2 linked regions of the Ovis aries genome follow. The protein of the gene in region 2 binds, or shares a complex with, the protein of the main gene of each other region. Links are inferred from orthologs where the notes say so. Each region holds a gene or a part of one and is shown on either strand. Other genes may lie near its edges.

The links. The genes of interacting proteins can lie anywhere in the genome.
Region 1: POLR1B (region 2) and TAF1B share a complex: the UniProt entries of both Homo sapiens proteins name them as parts of the pol I pre-initiation complex. The link is inferred for Ovis aries from reciprocal best matches to the Homo sapiens genes POLR1B and TAF1B.

The regions. Positions count from the first base shown.
Region 1 is NC_056056.1:19,135,574-19,139,226, reverse strand, and holds part of TAF1B (TATA box-binding protein-associated factor RNA polymerase I subunit B), read right to left. Parts: intron 1,336-3,653; coding exon 1,158-1,335; intron 613-1,157; coding exon 566-612; intron 1-565. UniProt on the Homo sapiens protein: Component of RNA polymerase I core factor complex that acts as a GTF2B/TFIIB-like factor and plays a key role in multiple steps during transcription initiation such as pre-initiation complex (PIC) assembly and postpolymerase recruitment events in polymerase I (Pol I) transcription.
Region 2 is NC_056056.1:60,441,172-60,445,262, forward strand, and holds the start of POLR1B (DNA-directed RNA polymerase I subunit RPA2), read right to left. Parts: upstream 2,886-4,091; 5' UTR 2,852-2,885; coding exon 2,675-2,851; intron 989-2,674; coding exon 821-988; intron 387-820; coding exon 240-386; intron 1-239. UniProt on the Homo sapiens protein: Catalytic core component of RNA polymerase I (Pol I), a DNA-dependent RNA polymerase which synthesizes ribosomal RNA precursors using the four ribonucleoside triphosphates as substrates.

The DNA.
Region 1 (3,653 bases), about 41 Mb from region 2:
ACACCAAAACTACCTTTAAAAAAAAAAAATGGAATATAGCTGCTTTATACTGTGGTGTCAGTTTCTGCTGTACAGTAAACTGAATCAGCCATACATACACATATATCCCCCTTTTTTGGACTTTCTTCCAATTAAGTCACCACAGAGCACTGAGCAGAGCTCCCGCAGCTCCACAGCAGGTTCTCCGCAGCAGGTTCTCATCAGTGATCTGTCTTATACATAGCAGTGTAGAGATGTCAATCCCCATCTCCCAATTCACCCCACGCCCCTGCCTTTTCCCCTCTGGTAATCATACGTTTCTTCTCCACAGCTCTGTTTCTATTTTTGCTTTGCAAATAAGATCTTTACTATTTTTCTAGATTCCACATATTGAAACCATCTTTTTACATGTCTGTTCTCCTAGATTTGACTATACCTCCTTGAGAATAGAAGATATACTAGATAACTACACATATAAACAGTCTGATACAAGGTACAATTTATATATTTCTCAGCTTCTTCTCTATATTTATTGCATCTTTTAATTCACCTTTTACAATCACTTGATTGATTAAAAAAAAAGTACCTTCTTTGTTCTTTTCATTATATTTCTTGGCAATATTAGACAAAGACCTGGAGACACAAATAAACAAATCAATTTATTTGGAAATCATTCATTAGAAGACAGTTAAATTTTGAATTCTTCTGAAAGAGAAGTATAGAACAGTACTTGAAACTGATGCCAACTTTTAATGCAGAAGCAAGCACTGAAATAGGGAAGAAGACACTGCCACTCTTTGTTGGCATTTTAAGATTCTTTCACTTTCCAAAATAATCTTTGAAGACACATAGTGCCAGAAACCAAAAGGTACATGGATGAAGTGCTAGTGACTCTTTAGAATTTGTGTATGATTTAAAACTCAGGAGAATGAGACACATGTGCATCTTCCTAAAAATGGAAGAAAACATGATCCAAACAACTTACTAAAGGAGAATGAAATCTCTGACAAATACCTGAGCCAAAACATTAGGTAAGGAGTAACTGCTGCTACTAGTCAGTGTTCTGTAACAACTCAGAGTCTCTACTTTCTACTGAGACATAACATATGGAGCCCTTTACTCTGAATAATTAGGGGAAAATAATAAAATTTTTTTCTCCTAAGACTACATACACTTACCATTCTAAATTGTCATCCAATAAAAAGAGCAGTTTCAATGCCACTACAATGACAGCTACAGCTTGCACATCATATTTAACAGTTTTTGCCTTTTTAGCTATAGGATCAAATCTTAGAAAATCCACTTCTCCTATTCCAGTCGCTTTTACCACTAGGCAGGTTAAATTATGCATTTCATCTGTTGAAGAATAAAACAGAAAAATGTGAAATTAAATTCTTTGGTTAATGAGACCATACTAATGTATACATACATGAGATAAGCTTTATCTTAAAATATGATACTATGCCATAACTCTGAGACATACCATTTTGTGTATACATAAACCAAAAAATGAAATGTGTAGAGAAAAACATATGGTCGAATCCTGGCAAGGTCTATCTTCTCCTATTCTGACTTCCCAAAATGCCTGCTATCTATGGCACATATCTTGGCACCAAATATACAGGCACACATCCATCTTCTATTGCTTCATCCACGCCCCTTGTCTGTGTTTCTACAGCAATCTGCATTTACCTGAAACCAACTTTCCTGTAGGACCAAGGGCTTCTCTAAAAATGTGCACTCACTTGGGAAGCTAGGGAGCCTGGCTAGCACACTGGAAGGCCCAGTGTGCACCTCACCTGCTGCCCTGCTTTCCCAAAGAAATTACATGCTCAGCACAGACTCATCTATTATTCAAGGCTGAGTAACTTGGGACTTGGAGCCAGAACACCTACAGCCTATATATTTAGGCTTTCTGATCATGAGCTTTGTGACTCCGGACTAGAGCCACTCAACCTCAGTTTCTTCACTTGTAAAATGGGTTATGGTGAGGATAAACACAGGACATAAAAGATAGGACAAGTGAATTATACTTTGAAAACTCTGAATTACTAAGCAAATTTCTTTACTTACTAACTGAAGTACCTATATTGTGATTAAATTCAAGTAGAACAGTTGTTATTTACAAGAGCATAATAAGTTGTATTGCATTTCCTATATACTGTCAGTCATTATGTTCTGTTGATTCTATTCTCTTAATGTAGTATACCATACTTTTATAACAGTCCAAATAACATTACATACAGTATATACATGTCTCTATATAAAGTATTATATACAGAATTTTATTACTATAAAAATGGTATTTCTTGAAGAATGTCTCCCCTATTTATTTAAAATTAATACCTTGAATTGCTTCTCTTATACTAAAAGTACATAGTAATAAAAAGCAAATGAAAAAAATTATGAGGAAGGAAGCCAGGACAGGAGAGAAAAACTAAGATTCTGACCTGGAGTATTATGTGACCTGGAGTATTATATGACGCCTCGGCCATCCGGCAGCCAGGCGTCACTCAACCTGCCTACGTCTCATCTGAGATGAGCACACCCACCTGTCCTCCCTTTCCACCTTCACGATGAGGTAATACAGATGAAGGCACTTTGGAAACTCTACAGGGTTCCCCACAAATTAAACAGACATGATTATGAAAGCTGCCAGGAATTCTCTCTGGCCAGCTCCTCAGTCCCAGGATGAGGGATAAAACTAAGGGATGTATTTGGAGTTCAGTCAGAGCCACCAAGGAGGCAGTGCTTACTCAGCAAGGGTGTGTGTGTGTGACATGCTTGCTGGAAGCTGCTTTCTGCCCAGTTCCAAAGACGACATTGTCATACATAAAGGCACTGAGGAGGGGCATTCGTTGCCCTAGCATGCTTAAAACCACCTTTAGCTTTCTGGGAACCCGAAAACCTCTCTTTGAAAAAGGGCCAAGTACACAGATCTCTTCTTTTTGATCAACAGCACAAGAGAACTATAGAGTGCAAACTTTCAGCTTTGAAAATGGCAATATTCTAGAAGCCTTCTTATAATTTCATGGGTAGGAGGCCAATCAATGTCACATTTTAGAATGCAATTTCTAAGGTGAAGGGACCACCACATCTTAGTTAGTAGATCTATTTTGTTTACTCTTTCCTCCCACTATTATGTAATATAAACTCAGTATAGGACATTTATAAGATACATAAAGTGGGAAGAAAGAAAAAATGCATTACTATAACTTAGAAATAGCACTTCAATATTGGGATAAATTTATTCCCAATATTTTCATGAATATTTTAATTTTATATAGCTATGATTATATTATATATAATTTATAATTTGGCCTATTTCCTTTTCTATTATGACATAAACATTTCCCATGCTTTTATATACTCTTCACAAACATAATTTTAAAAGATGCACATGGTTCTACTGAATATACAAAATATTTACTTAAACATTACCTTTCCATTGGATATTTATTTCTGATTTCTCAGTATTATAAATAGGGTCAATAACATTTGTGTATAGTTTTTTATCTATATTCCAAATTATTTCTATTGAACACTTTGTGAGAAGTAAAATTTTTCTATCCTGGCTCTTTTTAATATGGTCTCTAAAATAGCACTTTACAACATCAGATGATAGCAGTATCTCTCTGTATATTATAGTGGTTTTAATTCTACTTCTTACTCTC
Region 2 (4,091 bases):
AACCACTGGACTACCAGGGAAGCCCCTAGAGTGTTCTTTTTCATACACTGTCTCATCTGAGACTTGTTATGAAGCCTACACAGAGCATAGACAAGACATCAAGGCCCCTGTTACCTATCTAGAAATTAAAGCAGAGTAAGAAAACTGAACTCCCTGACAAGCTTTCTGTTCTCACACTCCCAGTTCTGGCCCTTTCTACTGTCACCAGGTCTTTCAGGGCACGGCTCCCCTGTGGGTACCTCTGCTTCCTCATGGTGCTCGATGAGGGCTTTTGGAGGAAGGCTGTATAAGTTGCAAAGCTTGGATTTCACCATGATGGGAACGTAGCCCAGAAACTGCTTAATGACTCCTTTTGAGATTCCATTCACTGACCAGCTGATATCGGCCTAAGTGAAAATGAGAGAGAGAAAAAAGTTAAAAAAAAAAGTGGGGGACTATCTAGATCTGTAGGAATAAATGAGTATTCTAGGGGAGGGAGACAGAGGGATGGACTGGGACTTTGGGGTTGGTAGATGGAAGCTATTACAGTTAGAATGGATAAACAACAAGGTCCTACACAGGGAACTATATTCAATATCCTGTGATAAACCACAATAGAATACTGAAAAAAAAAAGTATATAAAAAAAGAATAGATGAGTATTTTAAAAGATTAAGGCAGAGGACCATAAACTAAATGATTTTATGCTTTAGGTTTAAAAGATGGGATCTCTCGGACGACAGCACTGAGAAAGCCAAATTCTGGTATAAACCGTATTAGGCACTGGGCTTATTCAAAAAAAATGTACAGTGTGTGAGTCGCATGCTGTCACTCATACTCACTGTCAGCTTTCCCCGGTAGGTGCTCCTCCGGCCTCGGCACTCTGCTGGATAAACGTTGAGCTCTTTGCAGATGCTCCCTTTGGGAACGGCTGGAGGACTGATGACGGCATCCACAATGGTGAGAGAGATCCGCTCATCTTTGAAAGCAAATTCAAAGGGAGGGACGGCCTGAAATACAGTTGAGACAGTCAACCGCTTGCACTTGCAAGGCACTTTCTCTCAGACTCTTTCAAATTTCAGGTGTTCTACAAGCACTGATGGCTATCATCCTAATGCAACACATCTAAAAAGAGCCAGCACTACATCTGGGCTACTCCTGTCCTAAGTACCTAAAACAGCATTAAGAAGACTTTCTGGTCTACTCACTGTTGGATTCTATAATAGGTTCTAGGGATACAGCTGTTTACGGACAAAGCTGTCCTCTGAACCAAGTACCTGACTTCAGTAGTGTGTATATGTTAATCCCAAACTCCTAATTTATTTCTGCTTCACATTTTACCTTGTACTCTCTTTGTGCATATGTTGTTGTTCAGTTGCTAAGCAGTGTCCAACTCTTTGCGACCCCATGGATTGTAGTCCCGTCAAGCTCTTCCTCAAGAATACTGGAGTGGGTTGCCATTCCCTTCTCCAGGGGATCTTCCTGACCCAGGGGATGAACCTGGGTCTCCTGCATTGCAGATTCTTTACCGTCTGAGCTACCAGAGAACCCATTTTAGCGGAAAGATTCCTTGATCATCTCAACGCTGGACTCTTTTTCATTGTTTTAATAAATCCCAGGGTCAATTAACTTATAAGCAGATTTACAATTTTTCTCATAGACATGATACAATGAGTCCAGGCACGATAGAAATTATTTCCCATCAGACAAAAATATCTCATCTTTTGCAAACGGGTGAAGCAGTATTAATCTTCGAAGAAGCCTCGATGGTTCCCCCATTATTTGCAGAAGAGAGTTCAAGCATCAGAAACTGGCTCAGCTTTCAACATTCTCTCCACCCCTCCTGCAGAACAAGCCCTACCCAACAAAAGCAGAGGGTAGAGACCCCTGAGCTCTGCTCCTGCACTCCCCCTGGAGGGAACGTACTCTTCTCTTGGATTCATGAGGTCCTGCCCTGGGTTAGCTGCACCTCCCTCCTCTGTGCCCCCGCACATAGCCCCTTGGCAAGAGAATTGCTCCAGAGTACTGGCACTGACTGCCTTCACAGCTCCACCTGCTGCTGCTGCTAAGTCGCTTCAGCCGTGCCGACTCTGTGCGACCCGATAGACTGCAGCCCACTCCATCCCGTCCCTGGGATTCTCGAGGCAAGAATACTGGCGTGGGTTGCCATTTCCTTCTCCATCACAGCTCCACCACCTCCACCCAAAACAAGATAGCAAGCAAGAACTCTCTCTTACATAGGTCTGCCTCTCCCTCACTGTCAGAGCCCAGTGCCCGGAGACACCGGGATGCTTACTAAATGAGACCCTACCCCATTATTTTAACCTGAAGCCTGCTACCATCACCCTCTAGACCAATCACTTTAGTATGGAGTAAATGTTACCTAATGACGTTACCAATCTCTTAAGGAGGACCAAAGGTTTCCCACTGAATCTCGCTTTAATGACTCACTGGCACCTTCCTCGACATAGCCCGGCGCTGGGCCTGTGCCCAACTCCCCCGTCTCCTGGATCCCTCCTCCCCTCTTCCAGGCCCCAAGCCTCACTCACCTCTCCCTCTTCCTTCTCCAGCGCCTCACACACCCCGCACCCCATCCGCCGTGCCGCCAGGCCCCTTTGCTTCACCCGCCTGTAGCAGGGGCTAGAGGCGCCGGAGAACCCAAAATTGAGGAACGGCTGGGAGGAGGCCAAGCTCACCTGCACCGCGTGGCTGAGCCCCTCGCTCACAGCGTAGTTGAAAGACTCGACATGCGCCCGCGTCAGCTCCTGCAACGCTGGCTTTTGCTGCTCCCGCGGGATCCCGTAAGACGAGTCGGTCAAGTGCTTTAGGCTGGGCCCACTGGGCAGGTTTCGCCACCGGCCGCCGGGATCCATGAGTTTGCCAGCACACCGGGCGCCAGGGACTGCTCCACACGCGCCGGAAACACCACCCGGCGCCCAGCACCCATGACCTGCTGGGAAATGTAGTTCCTCTTGGTCTGCCGGCCCTGGGTCCTCAGATTTTACAGGGTCGACTAGAAACTAATACTTGGAGCAAGTGGGCCCGTTCAAAATCCTGCAGAGTCGGAGAGCGGCGGATCGGCTCCGTCTCCTCTCTTCCGGTGTCCACCCCTGTAGATCTCCGTTCTCCACTCACAAAGGGGAAGTCCGCTCCACGGCCAATTCCGCCTGTGAAATCTCCATCTTTCATTTGCGGTTTAGGACCGGCGGAGAGTGATGTTCAAAGATTTCCTTCTCTTTCCTTGACGACTTTGCGATCCAATATTGATGCAGACTCTCGGGGTGACACCCAACCAGAGTTCTGGCTTCAAGGAAAAAGCAGTTAGGCACCAAACCGACTGCCCTCTACCCAGACCAGGGTAAGGGGTTAAGTCGGGAAGGTTCATCACTGGGACCGTCTAGCGGTGGTCCTACCCCCATTAGCCCCTCCCCGCGTCGTCTAGACTCGAGTCTTGAGCGGGAGCCGGCAACGTGTGTGCAGGCGGGCGTCCTAGCCCTAATATCCTTTAGTTATTTAGTCGCTAAGTCATGTTCAGCTCCTTGCGACCCCATGGACTCTAGCCCTCTAGGCTCCTCTGTCCATGGGATTGCCCGGGCAAGAACACTGGAGTGGGTTGCCATTCCCTTCTCCAGGGGATCTTTCCCAACCCAGGGATCCGGGGATCTTAGTTCCCTGACCAGGGATCAAACCTGTGCCCCCTGCAGTGGAAATGCAGACTCTTAACCACTGGACCTCCAGGGATACTTTGAGTCTAAATCCTATACTCCATTCATCTCCCCAGAAAACGATTTATCGGAGACTGTCTGCAGCTGTCTTTCAGCGTAATCTTTCCTGTGTATGTGCGTTTAACAGCTCTATCCTGTACGCGGTATAACTGACACACGATAAACTACACCTGCTTAAAGGGTACGCGCTGGTAAGTTTTGACCTAGGTATGTGCCTCCTGGGCTTCCGTGATGAAGCTATCATCACGATTAAGATAATGAACTCATTCACCACTTAAGAGAAATGTCCACCTGACGCAATTCCACCTTTACCTAGGTCCGGTGGTAATTCTCATTCCTGTATCAATTTTAAAAATTATCCTCTGTTTCTTTCTTATGTTTACACCAT